Astyanax mexicanus: one gene and its partners. The protein of the gene in region 1 purifies or fractionates together with the protein of each later gene. This does not show direct contact. Links are inferred from orthologs where the notes say so. Each region holds a gene or a part of one and is shown on either strand. Other genes may lie near its edges.

Region 1 (10,964 bases):
GCAATTGCCTAGCAACCAGTTAGTAACAGCTTAGCAACCACCTGGAAAACATTAGCAATTGCCTAGCAACAGCTTAGCAACCTTTTCAGAAATGATAGCAACCGCCTAGCAACACATTAGCAATCAAAAGTTTAACCAAAAGTTTTACGATTTCAGCATTTAAACAAGCGTTTTTAGATTTCAGCGTTTAACGAAATGTTTTTAGATGTCAGCGTTTAATCAAAGGTTTTTAGATTTCAGCGTTTAACCAAATGTATTTAGATTTCATCGTTTAACCAAACGTTTTTAGATTTCAGCGTTTAATCAAACATTTTTAGATTTCAGCGTTTAACCAAACGTTTTTAGATTTCAGCGTTTAACCAAATGTTTTTAGATGTCAGCGTTTTTAGCATTTAGCGTTAACAGCATATCAATGACTCTTCACACTCTTCAGACGGAAAAAGCTTAGCAACCATTTTAACTTTTTAACGTTATTAGCGTTCTTTTCCAAGCCAACTTAAAGTTCGTTCACGAACTTTACCTTTTCTAGTTTAGGTTTGCAGGCCTACTGTAAGCTATAATGAACGAAACTGTATTTATTTTATTAGTTCAGGGCTAGTTTAAGAGTATTGTGGTGTAATTTAATACTTAGAAGGGGTAGAAGAGATGGTTGATCTGGAGAGAGAGAAAATGTGAAGAGGGCTGAAATTAACTGACTGACAGGACTGGACTGATCAATAGAAAGAAGTATTAATTAAATTATTAATTGTTTAGGCCCCTTTGGACTAATATTTACTTATGCAATATATCTGGTCCATGTCATTTTTGTAAAAGCTGATGATTTCATGTAAATGTCTAGAAAAGGGTTTAACTTAGGCTGTATTATAAGAATTACATATGTAGGAATGTCCACAACATTTCAGTGTCAACAAAGATAGACCTGTCAGATTCTGATAATCTAATTGTAGTTTGTAAAATGTTCCCAGGTGGTTATTTTAGATTTATTGTAAACCTGTCTTAAAATATAAGGGATTCTGTACCTCGGTTGGGTTGGTGGGCGACTCGAAGCAGGTGACGGAAAATTTCCCTTATTTTTAAGTCCAAAACTTGACAGGTATGCTTAGAGCCCTCACAGCGGGGCGAATGGGTAACGTCTCGGCGGCATAGTCGAAAGGCTAAGGCTAATGCTACCGCAAAGGCCACAGCCAGCCCACCTAAACACCACGCTCCCCCAGTTCACGTGTCAAACAGGTTTGCCCCGCTCAGTGAAGCACCAACTGAGGAGCCTGTTAAAGGTACTCTGGTGATAGGAGACTCTATCGTCCGACACGTGAAATTAGCTACTCCTTTAGGGGCACCAGCGGCAACAGTTACTTGTTTACCGGGAGCCAGAGCACCGGACATTAGTGGCAACCTCAGGTTAGGGAATAGGAGATATTCGAGGGTAGTAATTCATGTAGGGGCCAATGATATTCGTCTGCGGCAGTCTGAAGTAACTAAGGCTAATATTAAAGAGGTGATTAAACAGGCCCAGACGCTGTCCGAGGAGGTAATCTGCTCTGGCCCCATCCCAATGAGGCGTGGTGATGAAGCTTACAGCAGGCTTTCTTCGCTGAACCGCTGGATGTCCAAGTGGTGTGCAGAAAATCATGTGGGCTTTATAGATAACTGGCTACACTTTGAGGGCAAGCCTGGTCTTTTAGGTAGGGATGGTGTCCACCCCACGCGGGAGGGTGCTGCCTTACTTTCATGCAGCATAGCTCATAGTCTTTTAGTTAGTCGGCAGAGTAGTATTAGAAGCTGCTGACAATCCAGAGCCGGGACCAGGCCGCAGACAGAGAGGCTTAACCAACCGTCTGCGAGCTGCAAAGAGACGTTACCTAGATACCAATGTATTCAGACTGTGTCTGTCCCCCGAGTCAAACAAAAACATCAAAAAACTAAAACAGTAAATCTAAATAACTTAACTTATATTAAACAATCATATCCAGACTGTAGTACTAACATTTCAAGCCTAAAGATTGGTTTACTTAATATTAGATCTCTAAATTCAAAAGCAGTTCTAGTGAATGAAATGATAACTGATCAGAAATTTGATGTTCTGTGTCTGACAGAAACCTGGATTAGGCCAAATGAATATGTAGCATTAAATGAAGCCACCCCTGCAGGCTATAATTATATACACAATCCGAGATTGTCCGGTAGAGGAGGTGGGGTCTGCATATTTTTCCAAAGTACCTTAGTTAGCAATCAGAAACACTATGAAAATTTTACTTCTTTTGAGCTTCTTTACACCAGTATAATTAATCCAGTTACAAAAAAGAATGCATTTTCTTTAATTAACATCTACAGACCACCAGGGCCCTATTTAGAATTTTTAAAAGAATTTAGTGATTTTGTCACAGACTTAGCAGTAAGTAATGATAAAGTGATTATAGTTGGAGACTTCAACATTCATTTCGAAAAATTGGATGATCCATTAAAAAAGGCATTCACATCGATTTTAGACTCAGTGGGTATTATTCAAAATATAACAGGACCTACTCATTACTGTAATCATACTCTGGATTTAGTTTTGACCCTGGGTGTGAGCATAGATAACCCGAATATTCGTTCTCAAACCTCCGCAATTTCAGATCATTACCTTATTTCATTTAAATTACATCTTAGTCATAATATACGTACATCCCCTAGCTACTCTGTAAAACGTTCAATTACGCCTTTTACAGCCCAACAATTTACAGATAAGCTTCCAGACTTATCAACTCTAATGTACTCTCCTGTAGACCCAGTAGAACTAGACAAACTAACCGAAGGTTTAGAAAATACCTTTCGCTCTACCTTAGATGTTGTAGCACCCCTTAAACACAAAATAGAGAGACAGAAAAAGCTCGCACCGTGGTACAATGATCAAACTCGTACCTTAAAGCAGTTAGTACGAAATTTAGAGCGTAAATATCGATCAACTAAACTGGAAGTGTTTCACTCTGCGTGGAAAGACAGTCTTGTTAAATATAGAAAAGAACTTAATAAAGCCCGCTCAGCGTATCTGGCCTCACAGATCGAGATAAATAAAAATAATCCTAGAGTTCTCTTTAGTGTTATTTCCAAATTAACTAAAAACCAGGCAGGTACTGAACCTCAGATTCCAGCCATTTACACCAGCAACGATTTTATCGACTACTTCAATAGTAAAATTGAAAACATTCGGGATAAAATTAAACAGATAAATATTACATCCTCTCTGTCATCTGGTCTGGCTGATCTAGAACAAAACCCTGTTACTGAAGTTAGGTTGGAAGTCTTTAACCCACTTCCACAGCTAGAACTAGAGAAAATTATCTCCTCTTCAAACAGCACAACCTGCACACTTGATGCTGTTCCCACAAAATTACTAAAACAGGTACTGCCAGATATAATTAAACCTCTGTTAATGATAGTAATCTCATCGCTCACCCTGGGCCATGTACCCAAAGCCTTTAAAACAGCTGTAATTAAACCTCTGATCAAGAAACCAAATCTTGATCCTAGTGTACTGTCTAACTATAGACCTATTTCAAACTTACCGTTTATTTCTAAGATTTTAGAAAAAGCTGTAGCCCAACAACTTTGCTCTTACCTGCAAAGAAACCAGATCTATGAAAAATTTCAATCTGGATTTAGGCCTTACCATAGCACTGAGACAGCTTTAGTTAGAATAACAAACGATCTACTTATAGCCGCCGACCAAGGCTGTGTTTCCCTACTCGTACTTCTCGATCTGAGCGCAGCCTTTGATACAATAGATCATACTATCCTTTTAGAAAGACTAGAGAACATGGTCGGTGTAACCGGAACTGCCTTAGCATGGTTTCAATCGTACTTAACCGATCGCTATCAGTTTGTGAGGATAAATGTCTTCCAGTTATACCAAGGTAAGATATGGAATCGCACAAGGCTCTATATTAGGACCGTTATTATTTACATTATATTTGCTCCCACTGGGCAAAGTTATTAGAAAACACAATGTGAATTTTCATTGTTATGCGGATGACACGCAGCTCTTCATATCAGCCAAACCTGATGACAGAGTGAGATTAAAGAAAATCGAGGATTGTGTAGAAGATGTAAAATCATGGATGTCGCACAACTTCCTCCTATTAAATAGTGATAAAACAGAAGTTCTCCTATTAGGCCCCAAAGCTGCTAGAAATAAATTATCAGACTTAATGCTAAATCTGGCTAACTTCTCAGCCACCCCTGGTTCAGCAGCTAAAAACCTTGGAGTTATCATAGATTCAGATCTAGCATTCGATAAACACATATCTAATGTTACTAGAACAGCTTTTCTACACCTCCGTAATATTGCCAAGCTAAGAAATGCCCTATCACTGCATGACGCAGAAAAATTAGTACATGCCTTTATTACCTCAAGGCTAGATTATTGTAATGCGCTACTGTCTGGATGTTCCGGCAGTAACTTAAATAAACTTCAGCTAGTTCAAAATGCTGCAGCCAGGGTCCTTACTAAAACTAGAAAATTTTACCATATTAGTCCAGTACTATCAGCACTGCACTGGCTTCCAGTCAAATTCCGCATAGACTATAAAATTCTCCTGTTAACGTATAAAGCCCTACACGGACTCGCTCCTGAGTATTTACAAGACCTCATCTCCTGTTATGAACCACCGCGATTACTTAGATCTCAGGGTGCTGGTTTATTAGTAGTTCCTAAAATTCAGAGGAGCTCTGCAGGAGGAAGAGCTTTCTCTTATAAAGCGCCTCAACTCTGGAATAATCTCCCCGAATATGTTCGGGACTCAGACACAGTCTCAATCTTTAAGTCTAGACTGAAAACTTACTTGTTTAGTTTAGCTTTTGGTAATTAATGTTTTTTTCCATTAGATAAGGCTGCAGATTCAGGGGTTCATGGACAGAGGAAATTGTGGTAAACTGTGTGTTCTCAGTTTTGCATAAATCCAGTCAAAACTAATTCCATCTCTCTGCTTTCCTCCGAGTTACTGACTGCCCACCTGTCTGACCCGATACCGATGTTGGACCCTCAGGCTCTCGCGTCTCCTGTCCGGCCAGACTGATGGAAGTTTCTGAAGTCAGCTCTTCTCCACCACCACCACAGATCAGCTGCTCATCATCCATCTTACTCTCCACTACAGATTACATCCAAGCCATTAGTGGCGCTATTACACTCCTGAGTACATAAAACCTATATGGATGTATAAAAGACTTTTTAAATTTTAATTTAAAAGCCGTTTGACCAGTGGTAGGATGGTCCCCCCTCAAATGTGAGTCTTGGTCCTCCCAAGGTTTCTTCCTCCTCCTGCAGCTCTGAGGGAGTTTTTCCTTGCCTCCGCGCTCACTGGGGGTTCTGTATTCTGTATTTTCTATGTGTAATGTTTTGCCTGATTCTTTGTCCTGTAATCATGTTTCTGTAAAGCTGCTTTGTGCCAACACCTGTTGTAAAAAGCGCTATACAAATAAATTTGATTTGATTTGATATCCTAAATGTACATTTTTGCATTAGATATGTGGACCTGAACTCTTTAAAAGATACATTGGAACATTTTTTTTTTACAATAAACTGTGGCTGTATCTGTAAATGGAGTTTTACTAGTAAAATGTAATCATACATACAAGAGTAAAATTTGACTCACCTTAAAATATAGTTAGCTAACCCAGCTAAAAGTTCTCCATCACAGATTCTTCATATCCACTCATTCGGCATTCAGCTAAACTAGCTGTTCTGTGGAGTTCAACATAAAGAAAACTATGACTTTGTCTAATGCTTCTTAGTATTCACATTAGCTACATTAGGTACGAGGTTAAATAAATAAAAACAACCATCTGAGCCTGAGTTGAAGGCATCAGGACAGCGTAGCAAGCTAACCTAGCTAGCTGCATGTTTTTGCCAGAGCTGTTGTAAGGGGTGAAGAAAAATGCTCACTCAAAGCCCGAGCGAAAAAAATGTTTTCTGTAGCAGAAATATTTCAGCAGGATAAAAACCCGTCGTGTAAAACAATAACGCTTCATGACGTTTTCAGCTTAAGTTGTATAGCTAGCTATCTGAATCCTCTCATGTTCCAGCTATACGCTGCATTCGCCGTTACTCTACGAAGTGTGTTATTTGTAAACGGTGCCTAAGGTTTACCCACCGGAGTTAGCGAGCTAGCTCAGCCTGTTACTGCTAAAATGGAAGCGCTGATCAGCGGCACAGCGGCCAATATCAAGTAAGATACCTTTACTCTCTGCGAACATGGGCGCACATATTACACGTATTAACAGAGCATTTCCCACAGAACACTGTACTAGTGGCAGGGCAGACGCTGAGTTTATGTCGCTAATGCCGGTAAAACCCGTCCAAACTATGCTAGCCTGCTAGCTAGCTCTACCTACCTAATCTGTCAGTGGGTATTAATGCATACAGTACCAAAATAAAACAGTTTAATTAGAAATTAGGTTATTTTCAGATTGTTTTGGGTTGTTTCTTTTGCATATTATAAAGTTATAGGCTTTAATCTGTAGGCTAGTTAGTTACATGGTGGTGTCACATTAGCCACTGCTACCTTATCAAAAGTAATATCAAAACAAAGAACATTCTCTAACAGATAAAGCATTTAATACGCAGTTAATACCGTGGCCTTTACTTAATCTGCTGAAAGGTTAGTTTGAGAAAACTCTCTGCCTGCCAATTACGATATTTGTAGCAATGAAAGAAGTGTACTTATTTCTCAATAGCCCCATTATTACATTTATGTTTCCTGGTAAAGGGAACGGCATCAACAATCTAAAAGCTTCTGGCAAATATGGCAAACATTAGATTAAATTGTTATTTATTATATGCAGAAGAAAGTCATATAATTTATTGTTAGTTTTGTAATATACTGGCTATGGTGTTTATGTGACAGCCACTGTTTGACAAGCTGTCAGCATAATGTTGCTCTCATTTTGGACAGGCAAGTGTTTTGTGTAGAGAGGTATAATATTGTGTTTGTCTTTAAATTTTTTTAAATAATTTTATTTAAACTGTGTTTTTGCCATAGATGGACAAATCATTTCTGTTGCCAAATATTCTCTGTATTGTTGCTGTTATACCGATGATAAATGTAAGGGAGCTTAAAAATCTTTTTGTGTTTTGTCTAAAGAACAATATTGGGTAAAGTTATATTGTGTTTTTCTTTCCAGAGAAGATGGTATGGATAACTCTGACAGAACTGGGAATGGCTCAGGTGAAGAGGAAGAGAACAGAGGAAGAAAAACTGAGAACGTGAAGGTTGATGACATGGAGAAACACAAAAGAAAGAAACATAAACACCATAGAAAGCACAAATGTTCATCGTTAGAGGAAAAAGAACACAGACACAAGCACAGACACAAGCATAAAAAACACAAATGCCAGGATGATGGAGACTGTTTTGAAGAGGAGGATGATGCAGACCTTATCTCAATTAAGAGGTCCAGACTGGATGACATGGCAGCTTTGGAGGATTTAGAGAAGCAGAGGGCCATGATCCAAGCAGAGCTTGATAATGAGCTGCTGGACGGGAGGGTGCACTCAGGAATGGGCTTGATACTGCAGGGATATAACTCAGGCTCAGATGAGGATGGGGAAATGCCAGAAGGGACATGTAATGGAGATCAGCTTAGGGACATTGTTAAAGAGCCACATAAGTCAAAGAGCCATCCATCTGCTGAAGAAGCTGAAAGACTTGATTCCTGGACTCAAAGTAGAAGCAGATCCAAGGAGATGCCTACCAAAAATCGGCATAAATCAGACAAAAGAAAGAGCAGAACTGAGCCAACTTTTGAGACCAAGGAGAGAATGCCAGGTCCAGGTCCATCCTTTGACAGGAGGCCTTCCAGAAGTATTCAGCAGCCCAGGTCTCCTGTAACATCAAGAAAGCAACAATCTACATACAAGACTCAGCATTCTCTCTCTGCTGAGACTGAGCAGGAAAATAAAAAGGAGTCTTCACCTACAGTTCCACAGCCAGGCACACAAAGTGCTGATTATTCCAAATCACCTGAGAGGATGAGGCGATCTAGATCCAAAGACAGACATAGCAGACAGCCTGAGTCTGACCGCAGGCAGGACAGGGACAAGACAATGGTTAAGTCTCCATCTAAGGAAATCTTCTCAGGCAAGGAAAACAGGTCTCCCAGTGGAAAGCGTGACCAAAGTCCAGCATGGCTTACATCCTCTAATAGGACCAGGGAACATCATGCCCCTCAGCAGCTTTCCCGGAACCCGACTGGTGACAGAGAGTCCAAGCAAAGCCGCTCTGACCCCCGTAACAGATCTCCATCCAAAAGGGCTCGATCTCGCTCCATAGAGAGAAGACAAAGAGATTCTGACCGCCAGAGACCATCTCCTGTCAGGTTGGAGGCTAAACACTCCTCTGTTATCTTTCAATATTAACAGTAATCATAACATAAATTTCAACCTACCCCCTGTACTCGTAGTCTGTTTCTGTTGTTTTCTCTATTGTTTAGAGATTCTGTGTGCCTTACAGTGTCCGCTCCCATGAGACAGGAGGTGGCAGAGGGCAGAGTCCTTCTCTAAGTACTCGACGAAGACGGAGCCGCTCCCCCCTAATGTGCAGATCCCGCTCCCCCAGGAGACACGCCAGCAGGTCCTCTCCTCCCAGAAGAAGGTCTGTCTAAGCCCTTTCACATGTTAATATGTACTACTCACCTGTATCCTTATTCTTAATAATTGAGCACATTACCAAACACTTGTCGGGTTGTCAGTTAGTAACCCTGAATGAAAAGTGCTGGGTGGCTCACCAGAAGACCAACATGCTGACAGCATGGCCTGAGGATCGTGAGTTTGAGTCCAGGTTCATGCTGCTACACAATCAGCAGCAGGAAGCTGAGGAAGCACAATTGTTCATGCTCTGGGTGGGTAGGTTGCACAATTTGATGCTGGTTAGCACACACATCTGTTGGCTGATGTGTCAGTGCTGGGGATCTGGTGCTTTCTTCCAAGCATGCTGGCTGCTAGTAATGCTGCAGATTGTGACTTAGCCAGTATCAGAGAGGCAGGAGGGTCCTAGTGTTAGGAGTATTGTCAGTTAAGAGGGCTGGGAGTTGAATCCTAGGGGCTCCTAGGGTCCTATGGACCTTGATGGAGGTTGGTTAATGGACAATTCCACTTAAAATGTTTCTGATGTTTTAGATCAGTGGAACGCGACAGATTGGGCCTCAGGCAGCATGCCCACTCAGGATCTCAGGAGAGAAGGAGGAGAAGCAGAGAGAAGGAGGACAAGTTTAAGGGCAGTCTGTCTGAAGGCATGAGAGCCGAACAGGATGATTCAGATGATGAAGTGTGAGTATATCAGGGTTCTTTTAGTGCTGCTGTCAGCTGGACTGTCCTATATGCTTATTACACACTGTGTGGCCCCACAAATGAATAAAGGCCCCCCCGTCTCCACCTTGCACCGAGTTAGGGAGAGTTAGTGTCCCGCATAAATTAGAAGATGCAGCGAAAATGGCCCCAAGGAAGTCCAGACTGGCTCTGGCTGCTGTAAGTGGTTTAAAACTGTTTTGACCTGTGGTGTGGACATGCATAAAGAATAATTGCAGTTGTGGATTATGACTCCATACAGGCTGGAGGATTATGATGTTGATGAAGAGGATGAGGAAGCCCTGATTCAGCAGCAGAGACAGCAGCGATTGGCGATTGTGCGGGTCAGGACCTTGTCATGTCTTTGGCTACATATTCACTATAAAACATTCATGAATCTATGTTTGTTGGAATTACAGAGCAGTATGTGAAGACTGAGCAATGATAGTTTTTTTTTTTTTTACTTGATGTTCACAAAATACTGGCTTGCTGCTTTTCCCATGAGTTTTTACAATAAAATAATAGGAGTTGTCTTCTACTGGTGCCCTTACATCTGCAGAAGATAATAACTTTTAATATATAAAGCACCTGAGCCTTCACTGTACTGTATTGGTCTATAGCTAAACTGTGGATGTAAAATGTTGTACATTGAATGTTGTACATCTTAACCAATTTTATCTTTTAGTAAGCAAAATGTTTACTGTGCACTGAAATTAAAATATTTGGCCCAATCTGAACAAAATTAAACATTTGGCTAAATACCAAACTTTTGTAATAAATTTTTCCTTTTTTTCACCACAATAAATTAAATAGCCTTAATGTCTAATGCAGTTACAAAATTATAGTTAACATAATTATTGAGTACGTAACCCTATTTACCCAGAAGTTAGTGAATTGTTCTCAGAGAAAGGCAGCCAATCATTTTTTAAACAAACAAATGCTAAAGCTGAGTTACCTCAGCTCAACTAACAACCCTATCATAGTGGTTAATGAGCCATTTTTTGTAACCTTCAGTAAAACTGAATAGTTGTATTGTTTCCCTCTCTCTCACATGTTCTATTATACAGAAATATAAGGAAACTAAGGAGGACAGCATTAAGTCTGAACCTGGCAGTCCACAGAGTAGCCCCCGCAGCCGCTCACCCTCTCCGGACGATGTCCTCGAACGTGTTGCAGCTGATGTAAAGGCATATGAACAAGAAAACTTGGACACTTTTGAGGCCAACGTCAAGGCCAAACACAACCTGCTTACCCAGGAAAAAGAGGGTATGTTTAATAAAGAGAATAAATAAATTAATGTATTTTAAGCAGACAGCTGTCAGTAATTGTACTGTGATAATTCAGTATGTTGTTATTTGCTTATATAAACAAAAAAAATGTTTTACACTAATTGGTGACTCTTGAATAATTGTTATATTGTTTATTTTTGAATGTTTTATGTTTTTAATCTTGAGAAAAGGTTTATTTCCTAAAATTCTACTGTTAAAATATATTTGTGCGAAACACTGTATTGAGCTAAATGTTTCTACAGGTCTGGTAAACATGAATTACTTTGGTTTTCAGGTCTTCAGTTGTTTTGAGATGTGTTTTCAGCTGTGTTTGTTTGAGTGAGAGATAGATAGAGAGAGAGAGAGAGCACCTGAGA
Region 2 (10,658 bases), on another chromosome or scaffold:
TTCAACAATTTGATTATGAAACATTTATTAAATATCTAAGTTCCTTTAAAAAGAAACATCAATAAAATACTCTTTAGGGAATCAATAAAGGTCCACCTGTAGCTGAAGCTCCCTGGCTTGTTGACCATAGAATAAATTTGTATTCAAAGAATCAAGAATGGGCATACAGTATATGACTGATATAACACATAATCAGTTACACTGCACTGCAAATGCATCGATGCATTTTACACTGCTATAACTCACCTCTCCACGGTGAAGGCTGTGATGGAGCAGGAGGACACATTGATGCCCAGATACTGCAGGTAAGTGATGCCCAGACACCCTGCATGGCCGTACACCCAGGTGGCCATCAGGCTCTCTGAGATGTTGGGCAGCCCTGCCGCCACCAGCACCGTTAGATCTGCTACAGCTAGGCTCACCAGGTAGCAGTTGGTGGGTGTTCTCATGTGTCGTGTAGTCAGAACCACCAGGACCACCATAATGTTGCCTACGATTCCAACACCGCACACCAACAGCACCAGGAACACGGACACCGTCTTGTACTCCAGAGACTCGGCCACGCGGTCCCCAGTGCTCAGCAGGGAGATGTTCGAGACTGGGTTACTGTCCAGCTTGGAGCTCACGTTTTCCACCATGTTTTGAGAGCTTGTGTGTGCTTGTGTTAGTGTTGTAGATTCAGTTCAGAAGAAGAGTAAGGAAATGTTTTTACAACCTGTCTTGTTGAATCAGCTTTCCTTCATTGACACCCCTTTCATTATTTCCTTGTAGACTGCTATAATTCCATTAAACGTGACACTTTTGATTGCTGCAGCTAAGTCTCTTGTTGGCTTGTAGGCCTTTTTTGTTGCTTCTTAATGCAATTGTCCATCCGATCGATCCCCCTGAAAATAGAGATTGCAATAGTCAATTGGCAAAATGCCAATCTCCAACACCTTTAAGAGGATTTCACCATCCTGTGCTAATTGCTCAATAATTGCATGCATGTCCATGTCCTCTGGCATAAGTAGATAAGTGTTGTATGTATGACTGTGGATAGCAGACCTTCTCTAGGCTGCAGCCTGCTGAAACAGCGCTGATTAAAAGTCACAATGCAGGAATAACATCTACATCTCTCTCTGTCTCTCTCTCTCTCACAGACACACACACACACTCAGTGCTTCCCTCCACACCTGCTGGGGTCACAGAATTTTTTTTTCAGAAGAAAACTCTTCACACATTATCAACCTGTACCGACGATAAGCTGCCAGAGCAAATTATTCAAATGAGACATTTTAGTGGTACGCTGCATTAGGCAGCAAAAAAACCCTGCAAGTCTTAAAAACACACAACTGCCACAGGCAATCTGCTCACTACAGCAGTAGAAATTAAATACAACTGTTTTCAAGGATTTACACTTGGGGATGGGGCAGTGAATGTTCTATAATGCCTGGCCCATACTGCAGTTTTTTTTATCCTGACAGATGTCAAAAACGTGAGTGATCGCACACGTGAAATCATTTTTTACAGATTTTTCAGTCTTTAATTTTTGTTAGCTAGTGTTTGACCAGCCAACACCTCAGTTTTTTTTTTAATCTCACGGGAGTTTCTCATAAACTGTTATAATGTGAGAGTAAACATGGTGGATGACAGAAAAACATCACTTTGTTGAATAAATGTTTTCAACTCAGAAATAGTAATGTATACTGTTTGCTGTAAAAAAAATCTCTTTATCAAGCATAAAGTTAACACATTTTAAATCCACCCTATTCAAAAAAAAATATATGAGCATGTGTTATATTTAGGCGGCCCAGTAGAGTTAGGCTCTGTTTGGTTTAAATCCTGGGTCATGCTGCTTGGCATCAGCAGCCAGAGTCCGAGTCACCACAATTGGCTATGCTCTCTTCCCATATCACACCCAAACTGATGTATCAGAGAAGGTATGAGCGAGTCTTCACCTTCCTAGGTTTGGAGGCATTACTAGTGAAAGGGGGCGTACTAATAAGGAAATGTGGTAATTGACCTTCCAAATAGAGGTGAAAATGGAATAAAATTTGAAATAATTCGAAAAAAATAAATGATCAATAAACGATCAGGACAAACCTTACTGCTCTGGGACAAGATTAGAGGACTAAAGATTGGATTATATACTTCACATTCTACAGAATAATCTGGAAACTGTATCGAAATCGGGAGATTTTTGAGACTGTCGGGAAGAACAAATCAGCCTCAAAATTGATCTGACCATCCTGTAGTGTTGGCCAGGCATAAGATAACATTTGGGAAGTCCACAGTAATATTATACCAAAAAAAAAAAAAAAAAAGAACATGCTTAGTCCAGAAAATTAAGCTTTCAGATCAATTTAGGCTTCTTAACATGCTCTTCTATCTTGTCATCTGTTGCTGGTGTCACAACACAATAAAATATTGTTACATTGACTAGCTCTATTTAATACAGTACCTAACACGAATCACGATCACAAATCTGAAATTTAAAAGATATACTCTTATAAACTATAAAAAAGTGAAATTTCTCTATTTAATACTTCAGGTTATCTTTAAATAAAGAGTCCACAGTTAAACCTGGGTTTGTTATGAAATTCTCTGACTTTATCTCTACTGGAATGTCTTGAGCATCTTGAGCTAAACACGCTCATTAAGTCAGCAGCTGTCCTCTAAAGAGCATTTTCTTGCCGCGCTGTGATGTCGAGCCTGATTCACAGACTGGCGTTGATGGTGAGGGCCAGGCACGCTGATGAGAGCCTGTGATAAGAATTAAGCTGTCAGTCTTTTGGTCAGTCTCTCCTCAGTGAGTGGGATCCAAGCAGAATCATAAAGTCATCGAGCCATTCAAAGACTCTCTTTCACTCTCTCATTTTCTCTATCTATTTCCCTGTCTGTCTGTCTGTCCATCTGTTTATCTATATATCATATATGTATGCAGTTATATTTGTTACATTTACTGGGTCACCTGCTTAATCATTGTTTTAATAAACTGTTGATCCTGCTTTTGTTGGAGTAACTATCTCTGTTTTCCAGTGGAAGACTGTGAGTGTTCGATTACATTCACCACCCCACCTTTTCCCTAAATCCCAACTCATCCCAAAAATATTGGTTGGTGCACCATCATTCCATAGAACACCATTTCACTGTGTGAAAGCTCAATAGTGGGAGGCTTTATTCCCCTCCAGCCCCCAACAGGTATTACACATGGTGGCAAATGGCTCATGTTTATCTGCTCCATAGTAAAGGTGGGATACAATATTGTGATATATCATATAATATATTGTAAGTCGCTTTGGACAAAAGCGTCTGCCAAATATAATGTAATGTAATGTAACTATATATTTTTATTAAAGCACAGGTGCTCTAAACTCCCAAAGATTCGCCCCAATTTAACTTATTAAAGTTACTGCTTCATTACTCCATTAATTTATTATTATTATAAGTATTTTAAAGAAATTTCTTGTGATATATCCACAGAAATTTGATATCATTGTTATTGTGGGCCACATATCCTGGTAATATTGTATTATGAGAAGCCCTGTGATTCCCACACCTACTCCACTGTAACCAAATAATCAATGTTGAATTCATCTGTCATGTTATGGCTGATTAGTGTCTCTCCCACGATCTGTTTTTGTCTGTATGTCTGTCTCTGTCTGTCTCTCTAGTCATTTGTCTGTCCTTCGATCTATCTGTATTTCTCTGTGTCTGTGTGCATCTTTCTCTCTATGTGTCTGTCTGTCTCTTTCTCTATTTTGCTCTCTTTTGTGCTTCTTTCTCTCTCTTTGTCTATCTCTCCCAATTTATTTGTCTGTAAGTCTGTCATTATCCTAATGTCTGTCCTTTTATCACTCTCCCTTTCACTCAATTTGTCTGTGTGTCTTTTCCCCTCTCTCTGTTTGTGTCTCTCTCACTGTTTATCTGTCTGTCTCTCCGTGTCTGTTTCTCTCTCACTTTTACATGGTCCAAGTCTATTTCTTTCTCTTTTCTCCTTTTTCTCTACCTCTTTATGTCTATCTGTCTTTTTTGGCTTGTTCTGTGTGTGTCTCTCTCTCTCTCTCTCTTACTATGTCTCTCTTCCTCTTTATCTCTTTCTGTCTCATTTCTGTCTGTCTGTCACTCTTTCACTATGTCTCTTTCTCTGCATATGTATTTCTGTTAATCTCTCTTTACTTATGTGATTCTATGTTAATAAAATCTTTTTTATTGTCTGGCTGTATAAATTGTATAAATGTACTTGAAAAACAATGTTTCTTCTAAATGCTGGAGACAAACACACTTTCAATTGGTGAACAGGAAATGAGTATTATATCTGTTAACAACAACAACAACAGCAACAATTATTAATTGATTCATTGTGGTGAAGTAGATTATTTCAGTGGTTAGTATAAACAGTGCGTTATTACATGCTATTCTAAACCAGGAGGAAGCAAATACTGGAGAAAGTACAAAAACGAATACATATGAACACATTTAACATAATTCATTGGTTTTTTTTTTTTTTTTTTAAGAAGAACAGTCACAGTTTAACAGCACTGTATATTTCTCTTCACCCTCACACATGCGGTCAGTGCTAAACCAGAGATAACCCGAGCGAGTTAATAATATAAAACATTTCACAGACAGTAACTAACTTCCCAGCAGCTCCAGTGAAGGCGCGTCTCTTACCATTTTCTTCTCTTGGGTTTGGGATTCATTCAGTCCGTGCAGAGAGCGCTGGGTGGTGTGGTGTCGGCTGTGGAGCGCAGGTGAGAGAGTGAAGAGAGAGAGAGATGTGTGGTTCAGGTGAGGAGGAATGCGGCTCCAGCGGGCAGCGGCGGAGTGGGGAGCTCGCGCGCTCCTGGAGCCGCACTGTTCCGTGGGGACGAGCCGGGAGCGTTTTCTCTGCAACAGCGCTCTCTAGTGTGCGCGCGCCACCAGCGCTGCTGCACTTCACCACTGAACACACCACAAGAAGTAAGGAAACTTGTGTTTGGTATATTATTTTAAAAATAAATCTTATACCCTGGGAAAGCCTGCTAATTTCTCTTTTAAAAGGAGCCAATTTTGTAGGGAGCATGAATTTCAGAGCTGAGTATGTGGATTGCATAAATCTTCTCCAACATTGCCAAATAGCTTGTTCTGCCTGTAATATTAATTCTTGTTTTGAGCTTCTGGTACCCCCAGGTGCTGCCTGTGAGATGTCAGTGGTCAGTCAGTAAGTGTCTGCTTCATGAATCTGCATCATCCCACATTTGAATAATTTGGATCTGAATAGGGTCCATACGACAGGGCAACTTCTGTTCCGTAAAATCAAGGTGCGGCTTTATTTGGAATTGAGCCCTCGTACCACTGAAGGCCAAGATTCCTATAACGGGGGTGTCAGAGACAGGCAATGGCAGAGAGGATTTGGCTATTTTTTTCATGGGTGCAACCCATTTACTCAGCTTTGCTGCTTATCCCCCAAATGCCATTTAGAGGCTTCTGAATAGACTTACAACCCCTGACGTAGAGTTTGGCTTATTATGTAACCATCCCTGCATATATGTAGGCAACAATATATGTATATTCATTTTGCTTTGCATGCTAATCGTATATTTCAACATTGAAGGTGCTACACTAGCATTTTTTATATTCATTAGCATTCTTAGTTAAACTCAGTAACTCATAAAGTAGCACATTACAATATACTAACTCTAGCCTGAAATATTATAATATAGTAAAATACATATCTATGTGTATTTCAAACTACATCATTATTACTGTCACCTTCCCAAAATTACAGCTAAGTCCCAGCATTAAAAAAATAATAAAATGTATCTATGACTTAGTCACTCAAATATATATATATATATATATATATATATATATATATATATATATATATATATATATATATATATATATATATATTCTTTTTTTTTCATTGCACTGAATATCAAAAGCTTAATCTAGTGGAAGACACGTCCTACTCTATTCTGTTGTGATTAATTTTATTATATATTTTTTGTTTTATAATACCGACTTTAATTAATTTAATAAGACTCTTTTCGGATGTTTTCTGTGTGAATGGCTAGCCTAGCCTCGCCTTGTGTCGGGTGTTGATGACGATACTGTAATGGCCGCTCTCACGGTGTGTTGCGGGGTCTATGCGTTACTCCGGTAAAGAGAGAATCACTGATCGGCGCTTTCTTTCTTTATTCCCCGGTTAGATTTCCTCACGGAGGGGGAGAGGCCGGGTAGCCCCACATCGAGCCCCAGTCTCCGCGGCGCTGTGTTGTGAAAGGTGACCGACTGTGTTTTAAGCGCGTGTTTGCTGAGAGTTCTCGTTATTGTTGTTGGCCGCGGCGAGTCGGTGCGAGTCAGGGACGCCGCCGGGCAGCAGTGAGACGAAACGGGACGAGCCCTGCGGCCAGTCGCGGTTATTCTGCAGGGCGGGTGTAGTTTCGGGGGTTGGTGTCGGTCCGGGTCCATGAGCTCGGCTGTAGCGGGGTTTGGGCCGCTCTCTGTCGGGCCTGCTGCTCCTGCTGCTGCGCGGCCACCGGCGGAGCGACGCCTCCTCCTCATTGGCAAATAGGCGAAGCTAAGCTACGCTAGCCAGCTGTAGTCGGCGAGCTAGAAAATTGTCCTTTCGCTCGACCATCTCATGAGTCTCTTGCCGTTATTCCGAGCAGGTAACCTCATTCCAAATTACTTACTAAACTACAATTACATTAACTCTGTATGTTACGAAGTGTGCACGGTGTGAAGCAAGGCCGTTACGGGTGCGGAGACCTCGCTAGCTAACCTAGCTTAGCTAGCCAGTATGCTAAGCTAACAGGCTGTTAAACGGTAACGTTAACATAGCTAACTACTTAACCTAGCTAACGTTAGCTAGTAGGCTATCGTCATTAGCATTAGCATCGCCTTGGGTTGTGTTTATCCCTCCTCGGTGTTAGATTAGCTAACAGCTAACTAACTAGCTAAACAATTAACCGAACTAGTTAACCCAACTATTAGGGCTACACATTTAGCTATATTTTTTTGACAACAAGCACAGTAAACGATATTAAATTAATATAAAACAATGTAAGGGTAGTTAACCTAGCTACATATGACTAATAGTAACGTATATACAGTACAGAAATAATAACATTAATAGTGGATGTAGTTAGAGGTTACGTAACCCTAGTTGCAAGATTATGTGCTAATGCATAGCTAGCTTACATAGTTACATAAATACGTACTCACATATTAACCGTTTTATTAGTATTTTGTTTTTTAGATGACTGTTTAATAGGTTATAGTGTTCATCTTTATTTCTCTATTTTTTATTTATTTATATAAAACCTGAACGTTACAAGTGTAAAATTCAGTATATATGCATGTGTATATTCCCAAACATTTACTTGTTAGGTAGTTTACACTAATAGTCTAAATAAGTCTGCAAGGGTATTTTATTTTTGTATTTTTCGTATTCAGAACAATGTAGGACTAATATAGCTACCTAAGCTAACTGCTTTTCTGTATGTTTAAAACTGTGAAGCATAAAGTATCAATGGTAAAAACGCAATTCTGAGACAAAGTTCCCTGGGGTTAATACATTTTTAACTAAGCATTTTCTTAACAGTCACTTCACTTAATTTAATTAATTGTTTCTTATTAAAGGGAAAGGATAGATTGTTTCACTAAAGGAGTGGTCAAGAAAACAGATTCTATATTTTTATTTTTTAAGGAGGAAACAAAAAAAACTAATAAAACAAAGAGAATAGTTGTTAAACTGAAGGATTTATTAAATGAATAGAGCAAATTGTGGAACTAAGGGGAATGCTTTACTAAATTGACAGAACAATTTATTTTATTGCCAAAAAAAAAATAAGGGAAACATTTGTGTTCTTAAATATTTAGTTTTAACCTTGATCATTTTTTCTGGTCCTGTGGAAACCTTTTCAATCAGAATGTGCTCAGTATTGGAATTTAGGCCTGTTAAGGCCTGTTTTTGAAGACTAAGCCACACTTAGATTTGGTCAGAGTTACCAACCGCTGTCAAGGTTGGTGTTGTACCAGTCCTTGGCTAACAGTTCTGAAAGGCTTCTGAAAACCAAAACTGTGTTAAAGGATATTTACAACCCCTTACGTAGAATTTAGCTTAATATGTATCCAGAAAACCATCCTGGCATGTACTTAAGCAGCAATATATGTTCATATTTTGCTTTGCATGCTAATCATGTAAATATGAATGTTTTTGATTACAGATTGAGTGCTGATGGACACCCCTGAGAGCCCCACACAGTCTCCACAGTCTCCAGAGGAGGAGGAGAAAGGTCTGTCAGACAGTGAGCTGCTGGAATCTCCAGAGTCCCCTACTGAGGGGAACAATGAAGTGTCTGACAGTGAGTTACTAAACGATGAGGAAGGAGGAGGAGGAGGGGGAGAGTCAGACATTGATGATGAAGACAAGGTTGATTTGGGTGGGAGAGCTCCAGGAGAAATATCTGACCAAGACGATGACAAGGTAGACGGGATCGCGGGGAAAGATGTACACCAGCAGGAGAAGTCAGGAACCATTCTGAAAGGTGGGCAACACATGAGCAGATCTCCAGAGCGGGAAGAAGAAGAGGAGATCTTGGAAACCCCTAGGTCACCAGACCCTGAATCACCAGAGCCCGTACATCAACAACCCTTCACCCTTGCTGAAGAAGAGCGTGGGGAAGCCAGCCAAGAAGAAGAAGAGGAGGGAGAGAAGACCACTGGCTTAGGCATGAGTCGTCCAGAGTTGGAGGAGGAGGATGAAGAGGAAAGGACACAAAGGAGGGTAATGGCAGTCAGTGATCTAAAAGATGAAAACTCTTCTGTCTCCAGAGAGCTGGATGAGCATGAGCTGGACTATGATGAAGAAGTGCCTGAGGAACCAAATATTGGTGTTCCAGAGGAGGATGACATGGAGAAGGGTCCTGGTGCTGAGGACGGTGAAGCGAATGAGGAGGAAAAAGACAACAAAGAGGAGGGGAAGAGGAAAAGAAGTGAAAGGAACCCTATCCTCCCCCCAGACCAGGGCAACTCTGATCTTAAGAAATCTGAAGAGACAAAAGGCCAAGAAAGAGGCAGGAGGGATTCCTTTCGTGATAAAAAGAAAGATGAAGATGATGGCGAGATTGATGAAGGAGAAATTGATGTAAGTACTCTTACCATAATTACTAGGATTTGTAGAGTATTTGGACTCTACTAGGTAAGTACACTGTGTTCAAATTATTTAAAAAGATGTTCTTAAGAAAAAGAAAGGGACAGTTAATGCACTCATAGAAATGAACTGTGCCTGGAATATAGAGCTGCATTATAATTGGGAAGGGGGATGACATTGTGATATTTTGTTGTTCTGCAAAACATGTTGTGATATAAAAAAATACAGGAGTTTTCTTCAAAAAGTCAAAAATCCAATAGGTACAATAATATTAACAATGCCCATTTTATGTCCAAGATAGGACAGATATAAATGATATTGAGCTTATTTTATTTCCTTTTGTATTAAGCAAGTTGTAGCATGACGTAATGTTTAAGTCGCCTTTTCTTATGGTGCGCATGCTGTGATGTGCCTTTTTTAGCAATGACTATGCTGAACAATATATTGTGCATCCTTGCTGACATATTGTTATTTGTCAGTCTTAAATATTTCAGATCATCAAATAAATGTAAATATTAGTCCAAGGCAACACAAGTAAACACAAAATACAGTTTTTAAATGAAGTTTTTCTTTATAAAATCCAAACCTACATTGCCCTATGTAAAAGTGGTTTATCACACCTGAGTTCAATTTCTCTAGCTGCACCCAGGCCTTATTACTGCCACACCTGTTCTTAATAGAGGAATCACACTTAAATAGGACCTGCCTGACAAAGCCGAAGTAGACCAGAAGATACTCAAAAGCTAGACATAATGCCAATATCCAAAGAAATTCATGAACAGATGAGAAAAAAAAATAAGGTATGTCAGTCTGAAAAAGGTTATAAAGCCATTTTTTGTGATTTTGTGTATAAAGCCAAGTTTAGGGATTCCAGTGAACCACAGTAACAGCCATTATCCACAAATGGCGAAAACATGTAACAGTGGTGAACCTTCCCAAGAGTGACCGGCCGATCAATATTACCCCAAGAGCACAGCAACCACTCATCCAAAAGGTCACAAAAGACCCTTATGACAAAGTAAAAAAAAAACTGCAAAAAAAAACTTGCCTCAAGTGAGGTCAGCGTTCATGACTCCACTATAAGAAAGAGACTGGTCAAAAATGGCCTGCATAGCAGAGTACCAAGACAGAAACCACTGCTGAGAAAAAAAGAACACTAAGGCTTGTCTCAATTTTGCCAGAAAATGCTGGTAGTATGTGATGGTGTGATTGTCTGGGTCTGGTTTGCTGACTTACTCTGATAAATAGAACCATGAATTCTGCTGTCTAACAAAAAGTCCTGAAAGAGAATGTCCTGCCATCTCTTTTTGACCTCAAACTGAAACGAGTTTGGGTTCTGCAGCAGGACAATGGTCCAAAACACACCAACAAGTCCACCTCTGAATGGCTGAAGAAACCCAAGATGAAGACTTTGGAAGTCCTGACTTGAATGTTAATGACATGCTCTATCATGATCTTAAACAGGACGTTCATACAATTGTTATACAACAATTCTATAAAGAAGAGTTGAGCTAAAATTCCTCCACAGTGATGT
Region 3 (10,184 bases), on another chromosome or scaffold:
TCATTTTTCTGTAAAGCTACACCTTAACTAGGCTTAAACAATATAGGAGAAAAATATATACACCAAATCAAGTGGGCAATCAGTTAGTGTGTATTAGTGTGTAAATGATTTATATTAAATTCAGGGTCCATACACTATCAATACATCTCCATGACTTTTTCATGCTTTATTCATGCCTTTGCAGCTAATTTTCACGAACATATAACATTTAAAATAGCAGTACAGACATGCAGACATTCTGCACATTTATGTCTTTGTTTTTCTGCCTTATATTTTTTCTAAATTAATCCAGATATTAATATTCATTAAATGTAGGGGTGGGCGATATGGCTCTAAAATAATATCAAGATATTTCAGGGTATTTTTGCGATAACGATATACTTGGCGATATAGGAAAACTAAAATAATTAATTAGTTTCAGGAATATAGTATAATAGTATAACAGTATAATCATAATGTGGCAAAATAAATAATATATCATAAAATAATATAATGCAGCAAAAAATATTACAGAATATTTAGTGCATGCATATAAACTGCAAACTAAAACAATTATACAATAAATACACCTAAAGCTTCACAGTAAATAATAGACTACTTTTAAGACAGAACAGCCCTATTATCACGATATGGATTTTTAATATGATATTTCTGTTCTCATGATATATTGTATACGATATAATATTGCCCACGCCTAATTAAATTACATTTTTCTCACTGATTGAATTTACACTTACAGTGAAGCAAAAACTCCAGTCAGCCAGCTATCTAAAGCTAAGTGACGTGAAAGATTTGCACAAACATTACACTATTTTTTTGATACCCAAAACAGTTTTTCTCAGTCGATAAACGGAAATACTAAGATTTGTAGAGCAACTTATTCAGGCTTGGAAATTGCTATTTTACTTTTACATGTTTTTCATGCCTGTACAAACCAAAACTGTAAATCAAAACTGTATTATTAGTGACATGGGTGAAGTTATAAGTCCCCCAGAGTCTTCTGACCACATTCTTGTGATTTATTAAAACATTCAGGATTTCCTATTGCTTTAAAAAAACACATAAAAAACAAACAAACAGGAAATTCTCACTTTTTTGACATCGTCATCATCCTCAGCGTCGCTGTCATGGCGTGAATCTCTCCTGGCTCTCTGATCCCCCGCCAGCCTGAAACGGGTTTAATGCGTTATAATCAGCCTAAATCTGCAACAAACACAATGTACTAAAACATTCACATCACCTGAACTGCCTTTATTTCTATTGTTATTACTAAATTTCTAAAAAAATATATATATAAAAACAGATTAAAACAGCCAAACAGATCAGTCATCCCACAAAGTCAAGGAAGTTCAGGGAGTCTCTCGCAATTTATACACAATATCCCAAAAATCATTTAACATTAACACATACACATTAAAATGTATTTGGCTGAGATAATGACAGTTCTCAGCATTGACTTCCCTTGTTCACCAACATTACTAACATTACTTAAACCAGCTGGCTAATGGTTAGGGAGATACTGTACTTCATGCACTGCATTAAAATCATGTTTTATTATAGGTTAAAACAGATATTAATAACAAAACCTGGGCACAGGGACATGTTTAAAGAGCTAACTTCCTGAAATTAGTTTTTACAGTACAGAGAACATAAATAAGAACTATTTAAACAGTAATATTAATGTGCAGCTCGTACCTCAAGAGTGCCCCCTCGATGTCCCTCTGTTTGGCTGGCGGTCCTCCACCGCCATCAGAGAGTCCACGCCTTAAAACAAGAAAAACGAGGCGTTTTATTACAAACGCAAACCAACAACACGCAGAAGATTTATCATCCGAATAAAGCAAAACACAGACTCACCTCAGTATACCGATGCCACGCCCCCTACCTCCACCTGGGCCTGTGATGGACAAACGCCTGGTCTGACCCGGCCTGAAACCAAAGCAGATCAGAGTGAGTGGGCTTTAAAACACTGCAGATATCTACAGGTGTTGTGCTGAATTCTAGCTTTCTGTCTAAATCCCACTCCCTTTACATACATGCACCCCACCTTATAACTATAATTAGTACATTTATATTTACCCTGTCTTACTTGTGCAATAGAACAGTTGAGAAATCGAGTATTTTAGGTCTGTTTATAGAACTGTCTTAAAATATATTTTGTTGATAAGGAAGCTGTGTTAACGGTTGTTGGTATATCTTTTTAAGTTTTCCATCGTATCTGTAAATGCAGACAGATTCCTTTTTATATTCTGTAATTTTGTGGGACCAAGTTAACCCTATACTAACTAAAGATATCATTTAATGTTTGATATTATACACTGCCTGGTAGGAATGGGCAATATGGCCTTAAAATAAGATCACAACATTTCATGGTATTTTAGCAATACTTTTGGTGATACGACAAAACACCAACTGCTTGAATTTTTGCACCAGGAGTAAAGCAGCATAAAGTAATCCAAAAGCAGTGTGTAAGACTGGTGGAGGAGAACATTCAAAGATGCATGAAAAAGGTGATTAAAAAACAGGGTTATTCCACCAAATACTGATTTCTATACTCTTAAAACGTTATGAATTTGAACTTGTTTTATTTGCATTATTTGAGGTCTGAAAGCTCTGCATCTTTTTCGTTATTTCAGCCATTTCTCATTTCCTGCAAATAATTGCTATAAATAAAAATATGTTTATTTGGAATAAAAAAAATGTTGTCTGTAGCTTATAGAATAAAATGTTAATTTTACTTAAACATATACCTATATATTTTTCCAGGCCTGTAGATAGATAGATAGATAGATAGATAGATAGATAGATAGATAGATAGATAGATAGATAGATAGATAGATAGATAAATGTGATCTACATGATGATACATATTTTCAGTCATACCACCCAGCACTACCACAAAAAGGTAGGTGTGAAAGCAGCCTTAAATTCTGCCAAGATTATAAAAGTAAGTTAATTTCTAATACTTATAATGCACGAATTACAGTAACTATACCTTAAACATTGCAGTTTGTTGATTATACTTATTAAAAAACACACATGACTGACAGCACTGCTTGGCCTGTAGAAATATTATATACCATTTTAACTGTTATATTAACCAAATAGCCTAATATTACACTCACCAGCTACTGTTTTAACTGATGAACTAGATAACAAACCTTTAAATGTGCTGTAAATCACCACAGTACTTAAATAAACATTTTAATAAAGTGTAAATATTATATTTTGACACTGAGGTAACGTTAGCTAGGATAGCTAGTTATGCTAGTCAGCATGAGTTAAAGACAGCTGAGCTAACTGCTAACTATGTAGTTAGCAAACATTAGCAGCAAATTTGTCAGAAATAACTAAAATATTTAATATTTATCTACAATATTAGGAGACAATCTGTATTATCATGCACCCATATCCTTTCTGTTGGTGTATATTAGCTATAAAACTACACTTTCACCTTCATAAATGACACCATACGCCTTAAAAATTAGCTTAGCATAGCATTGCTGAGCTCAATCAGTGCTGGGCTTGCTAAGCTAAGCTAACACAGTTTCGCTAGCCTAGCTTAGCTTTGCGCAGTTTCGCCCTAGTTAGGCAGGAAGAGCTTCGGGTGCGTCCCAATACACTAACTATCTACCACCTGTAACTCTCGCTTAAACAAGCCGAGGGAACGTTTTAAACACGTTATTATACAACAACTTACTCTACCTTAAACTATAAAAGTTAGGTAATTAGCTTAAATTGCACAATAAAATATTGTTTTTTATTAACAAGTGGTCAAAATTGGAATGCACCTTTCACTCCAATCTAGTCTGAAACCAATGCTAGCTAACTGCTTTGCTAATCTAGTTAATTTAGGTGCCCTAATTAGCACACACACTAGCACACTAGACCGCAGCAATTCAAAAATGTATTAATATATTGTATTACATGTTAGTCATAGATTTATTTTATTGGCCAATAATAATCTTGATTTATTGTATTGTATTTTAAGTCCTCTATATATCCTTTACATATGTAGATTAGACAATAAAACTAACGTTACTTGACTATATATATATATATATATATATATATATATATATATATATATATATATATATATATATATATATATATATATATATGTTTTGTTATATGTACTAGTATATTAACTAGCTAATAAGTTGGAAAGTGTCAAAGCTCTGCATTCTTAAAACACAGAAGTATGGACTTTAAACAAATTGCAATTGTATGTATGTATGTATGTATGTATGCATGCATATATGTTTGCATTCATTTTAGCTATATTTATGTGCCATAACTAAGGCACAGAACAGAGTTAAATGTTATATACTACTGAAAACACGGACAACACTGTGCTAAATATTACATATTAATTAATATTAACTAGTTAGTTAACTAACTAACGCAAGTTTTAAGTGCCCTATCTAGGGCACAACACAGAAGTATGCACTTTAAACCGTAGCAATTGTATGTATGTATGAATGCATATTAGCTAGCTTTGCGTGCCCTAGCTATGGCACAAAACATAATTAAATATTATATATTGATGTATGACATTATATATATATATATATATATATAAGTAAAATGTTTATTTTGCTAGCTAGCTAGTATGTTGGAATGAATCCCTAATGTCTTGTTTAGCCTTCTAACACTAGCTTTAAGTGCCCTCGTTAGGGCACAACACAGAAGTGTGCACTTTAGTAGCACACCGCAGCGATTACATTTTAAATACTGATATGACATATTAGTAAAACGCTTATTTTATTATCTAATGGGGTTAGAAATCGACAGAATGTAATTACCCCATTCTACATGTTAATCTAGCCAAATAGCTTTAAGTGCCCTAGCTAGTTAGAGCACAAGTGTGCACCCTATTTTCTGTATTAGAGCTACAGCCCCTGTATTTAACCACAGCTAACGTTAGCTAGCTCTCTAAACTAAAGGTAAGCTAACTAGCTTAGCCGGTTAGCATGCTGCGGTTAGCCGCTCGCTAGCCCCGTTCCCCCGCTGTACCGGAGCTGATCCCGGTCCCCGGTCGTACCGTAGCTCGTTGGGGTCTCTGCCAGTGAGTTTCCGTATGTTCTCGTCCACACTCTTCAGGCTCTCCTTTGCCTTCTCCAGCTGATCCTGCAGATTCCGCACCGCCACCGCCATCCTGCTCCGATAGCTCAGCTAGCCCTACTGCCGCTACCGCTAACCAGCATGGAGCACCGCCGGAGTTCCACCTCTACCTGATGATGGACAAACACAGCAGCCAATAGGCGCCGACCCTCACGTTAACTTCCGCCAATCGTGGTGGTTCGTGCTGGCAGCGCCAGCCAATTATTCAGCTTATAAAGAGTCACATGTAACCTAAAAGATTCAAGATTCAAAGAGTTTATAATCTGCACAGTAAGGAAATAAGTCCTGATGAGTGCCAGTTTAATCATTCTAACGTATTTATGGTCTTTTTTTTTATTGCGACTGCATTTGAGGACACTTTGAGTTATTGAAATTTTTCAGATCGACTGACCTGATAATGAAAATAGTATTGTTTTCTTTACTTAGTTGAGTAGTTCTCGCCGTAATATAGATTAGACCATTACTCAAATAGTTCAAGTTGAAAGACTTTCAAGTAATTTGCACAGTAAGGAAACAAGTCCTGATGAGTGCCAGTTTCATCATTAAAACGTATTTTATGATCTTTTTTGCGACTGCACTTAAAAATACTTTCAGTTATTATTTTTTTCATATTGACTGACCTTCAGTTTTTCTTAAAGAATTTTTTTTGCTTTACATATTTGAGTAGTTCTTGCCGTAATACGGATTAGAACATTACTAAAAAAATGTACTGTTGAAGGACATCTGCACAGTAAGGAAATAGGTCCTGATGAGGGCCAGTTCTATCTTTATAACGCTTTTGATGGTCATTTTTGCAACTGCACTTGAAAATACTTTCAATTATTGAATGTTTTTATATCAACTGACCTTTATTTTTTCTTAAAGTAATTAAAAAAAAATTACTTAGCTGAGTAGTTCTTGCCGTAATATGTAGGACATTATAGTTGGTTTTAAAGGTTTAATAGTTTGTGCTAGATTAGCTAAATACTTAACACTTCTGCTATTATTAGGGGGGAAATATATGTATATATTATTATAAAAATATAAATATATCAAATATATATTTTGAAAGTTTTTAGCAGCAAAATCCAAAAAACAAAATCCACAGAAACAAACAAATGAAAGCAAAGACTGACCAAATTAAAAAAAACAATTTTCAAATAACGACAAATGTATATTTATATATATTAATTTCTAATTTTATAGCAAATATTTTCCCTTTTTATTTCCAAATTAATTCCATAAATAGAGACAAATTAGCCAGTCAGTATAATCAGTAGTAGTAATAGTAGTAGTAGTAGTAGTCACATTCAGAAACTGCTGATGTAATGCAGTGTGTGATGGAAAAAGAAAACAAAACCTAAACTGGAACACACTCAGTAGATTTATTACAGGTTTATTTCAATACAGCTGAAATGAATCACTGTAAACTGTTTTTATAATGGAACTATTCATTGATAAATCTACTGACCAATATTGATCACTGATCACGAAATCAGTCGATCAGCTGAGACACATTCAGTTTCTGGCAAATAACAGCATTCATACATGTAATCATAGAAAACAGACATCTACAAAAAATCTCCCATAATCTGCAGCATCGTCTTCTTCACTCTTTATCAGCCAAATCAATCTGCTCAAAATACCTAAATAAAAGAAATAAGAGGAAAAAAAAGAACCTGTAATTAACTTTATATAACATTAAAATTTATAAACTCAAATAAACTATAATAAAGTCAGTGATTAGTGAAAGTGTCTACCTGTAATTAACTCTATATAACATTAGAATACTAAACCCAAATAAACATTAATAATAAAGTCAGTTATCAGTGAGAGTGTCTACCTGTAATTAGCTCTATATAACATTAGAATCCTAAACCCAAATAAACATTAATAAAGTCAGTGATCAGTGAGAGTGTCTACCTGTAATTAACTCTATATAACATTAGAATCCTAAACCCAAATAAAATTTAATAAAGTCAGTGATCAGTGAGAGTGTCTACCTGTAATTAACTCTATATAACATTAGGATACTAAACCCAAATAAACATTAATAAAATCAATGATCAGTGAGTGTGTCTACCTGTAATTAACTCTATATAGCATTACAATACTAAACCCAAATAAACATTAATACAATCAGTGATCAGTGAGAGTTTCTACCTGTAAATAACTCTATATAACATTAGAATACTAAACCCAAATAAACACAAAGAATAAAGTCATTGTAAAGTGAGAGTGTCTACCTGTAATTAACTCTATATAACATTTGAATACTAAACCTGAATAAACATAAAGAATAAAGTCAGTGATCAGTGAGAGTGTCTACCTGTAATTAACTCTATATAACATTAGAATACTAAACCCAAATAAAGATTAATAAAGTCAGTGATCAGTGAGAGTATCTACCTGTAATTAACTCTATATAACATTAGAATGATCCATTAAAGTTATTGATATGTTGGTTAGAAAAACACAGTTTACCTGGCAACTATACAGATTAACAAGTTCAGTGCTGACAGCCTGTCGTCATCTTTGCTCTCCTAGAATAAAATGAAACACAAAAACATACTTTACATGTATAATATACTTACAATAGATTAAAAATATATACAAGTGTGGTTTTATATATAAATTCGTGACAAAATTAGCCATTTTCCGTCCCTGGCGTCATGTGATTTGTTAGTGTTTCAAGGTCTTAGGTTAAATTTGGTGTTTTGGGTTCAATTCTCTCATACTTGGCCACTGGATATTAAACATGCCACCTCTTGGCAAAGAGCTCTCTGTGGATGTGGGAAACAGAATTGCTGCTCTATATAAAGATAGCCTAGGCTATAAGAATATTGAGGTTATCTAATATTCAAAACTAAAAAATAAATCCAGAGTATGATTACAGTAATACGTAGGTCCTGTTCAAAATGAATGTTGAAGACTCCTACTATAATCATTTTATCACTACATACTTCTAAATCTACGACAAAATTACTAAATTCTTTTAAAATTTCTATATTCAGAGGCTGGCTTTAAAAAACAGATGTGTAGAATAGTGCTGCCAGTATTGCTGCAGAGGTTGAAGAAGTGTGAGGTCAGTCTGCAGTGCTCAGACCATACGCTCACACATACTGCACACATTAGATCAACTCTGTCTGCATCGCACTGTTCTAGAGGGTAGCCTCTTCTGAAGCTGATGCACAAGAAAGCCTGAACACAGTTTACTGAAAACAAGCAGTTTAAGAGCATGGACTACTGGAACCATGTCCTGTGATCTGAGGAGTTAAAGATAAACTTGTTTGGCTCAAATGGTGTCCAGCATATTTGGCGGCGTCCTGGTAAAGAGTACAAAGAAAATTGTCCCTTGCCTACAGGCAAACATGGTGGTGGTAGCATCATGGTTTGAGGCTGTATGAGTGCTTTCAGCACTCAAATGCTTTACTGAGTAAAGTGAAGATAAAGGTGATGGACTGCCCCAAAATTGATATAGCTTTAAAGCTTTAAATTGAGCATCTGTGGGGCATTCTTAAATAGAAAGTGGAGGAGAGCAAGGTCTCTAACATCCACCAGCTCTGTTTTCGTGTCATGGCGTCATGTGAAGCTCTAGTGAACTTCATACTATTTGTCCATTTTCACTTCGGAATCTACTCTACATTTTCGTTGTTAGCGGTTTACATATAAATGGCTAATAGAGGCAGGCAGTGTTTACCAGGTTTGCTCGTACTGCAGAGCACCGCCTCGCCAGCTGTCTGATCAGCGAATGAGCTTCAGGGAGGAGGGGCTTCTCCAGACACGCCAGTAATGCATACAGCCACTGACCCTGTGGAGATAAGAGCTTTCAGTACCATCTGTAAAGTTCTGTTATTTAGAAGAGTTTAACTAAACTCACCAGCTGTGGAACAAAATCTCTCTCCTCAAACCAGCTGATCAGATACTCCAGCACTGCAGAAACCGTCGACTACACAACAAAAAGAGTTGTTAAAGATTACAGGAGTATCAGATTACAGAGGTATTAGATAAATAGGGTTATCAGATTACAGGGTTATCAGATTACAGGGTTATTAGATAAATAGGGTTATAAGATTACAGGGTTATCAGATTACAGGGTTATTAGATAAATAGGGTTATCAGATTACAGGGTTATTAGATAAATAGGGTTATCAGATTATAGGGTTATTAGATAAAAAGGGTTATCAGATTACAGGGTTATCAGATTACAGGGTTATTAGATTACAGGGTTATCAGATTACAAGGTTATCAGATAAATAGAGTTATTAGATAAATAGGGTTATCAGATTACAGGGTTATCAGATGTCAGGGCTATCAGATTACAGGGTTATCAGATTACAAGTTTATTAGATAAATAGGGTTGTTAGATAAAGAGGTTTATTATATTAAAGGGTTATTAGATAAATAGGGTTAATAGATTACATGGTTATCAGATTACACAATTATCAGACAGCATGCTTATTAGATTACAGGGTAATTAGATAAATAGGGTTATCAGATTACACAGTTTTCAGACAAACAAAATGATCATATTACAGGGTTATCATACACACAGGAGTTTAAGATTACAGGGTTATCAGATTACAGTGTTATCAGATTACAGGGCTATTAGATAAATAGGGTTATTAGATTACATTGTTATAAAATCACAGGGTTATCAGAAAAATAGGGTTATCATATTACAGGATTATTAGAGTACATAATTGTTAAAATATAGGGTTCTCACACACACAGAGTTATCAGATTACAGGGTTATCAGATTACAGGGTTATCAGATTACAGGGTTATCAGACAAACAGGTCGACTAAGATCAAAAAAACCTAACAGGAAAAAACGCATTTCATAAACAGGCTTATACAGGCTTGTTTACAACAGTTAACTGATAATTTTCTGATGTTAAAAAGTCACCTGACTGAGTTTGCTGACGATGCTGAGAAACGGAGGAAAGCCCATCTGAACAAACAAGAAAGAGAACGAGAAGAAACTATTAGTGGATAAATACTAGTCCAAGTAAATCAATAATCTGTTGGAAAAGTTCTGCTCTTGATCTGACCCAAATATCAAATATACTCCTCATC

What was found.
Region 2: the proteins of prpf4ba (region 1) and zc3h18 purify together in Homo sapiens (co-immunoprecipitation; 4 studies listed by BioGRID and IntAct, counting the BioPlex papers as one, with this or other methods). This does not show direct contact. The link is inferred for Astyanax mexicanus from reciprocal best matches to the Homo sapiens genes PRP4K and ZC3H18.
Region 3: the proteins of prpf4ba (region 1) and pnn purify together in Homo sapiens (affinity purification with mass spectrometry; 5 studies listed by BioGRID and IntAct, counting the BioPlex papers as one, with this or other methods). This does not show direct contact. The link is inferred for Astyanax mexicanus from reciprocal best matches to the Homo sapiens genes PRP4K and PNN.

What each region holds. Positions count from the first base shown.
Region 1 is NC_064415.1:47,476,594-47,487,557, reverse strand, and holds the start of prpf4ba (serine/threonine-protein kinase PRP4 homolog), read left to right. Parts: upstream 1-6,082; 5' UTR 6,083-6,165; coding exon 6,166-6,203; intron 6,204-7,158; coding exon 7,159-8,352; intron 8,353-8,486; coding exon 8,487-8,627; intron 8,628-9,151; coding exon 9,152-9,301; intron 9,302-9,581; coding exon 9,582-9,663; intron 9,664-10,386; coding exon 10,387-10,585; intron 10,586-10,964. UniProt on the Homo sapiens protein: Serine/threonine kinase involved in spliceosomal assembly as well as mitosis and signaling regulation. Connects chromatin mediated regulation of transcription and pre-mRNA splicing.
Region 2 is NC_064416.1:22,223,966-22,234,623, reverse strand, and holds the start of zc3h18 (zinc finger CCCH domain-containing protein 18), read left to right. Parts: upstream 1-6,120; 5' UTR 6,121-6,250; intron 6,251-6,507; exon of another isoform or gene 6,508-6,638; intron 6,639-8,198; 5' UTR 8,199-8,209; coding exon 8,210-9,118; intron 9,119-10,658. Other genes in the region: trhr2 (thyrotropin releasing hormone receptor 2), read right to left, coding at 247-638.
Region 3 is NC_064421.1:1,237,426-1,247,609, reverse strand, and holds the start of pnn (pinin), read right to left. Parts: upstream 5,233-10,184; 5' UTR 5,161-5,232; coding exon 5,048-5,160; intron 1,930-5,047; coding exon 1,858-1,929; intron 1,765-1,857; coding exon 1,696-1,764; intron 1,168-1,695; coding exon 1,092-1,167; intron 1-1,091. Other genes in the region: gemin2 (gem-associated protein 2), read right to left, coding at 6,716-6,752, 7,591-7,649, 8,807-8,917, 8,987-9,055, 10,015-10,059. UniProt on the Homo sapiens protein: Transcriptional activator binding to the E-box 1 core sequence of the E-cadherin promoter gene; the core-binding sequence is 5'CAGGTG-3'. Capable of reversing CTBP1-mediated transcription repression.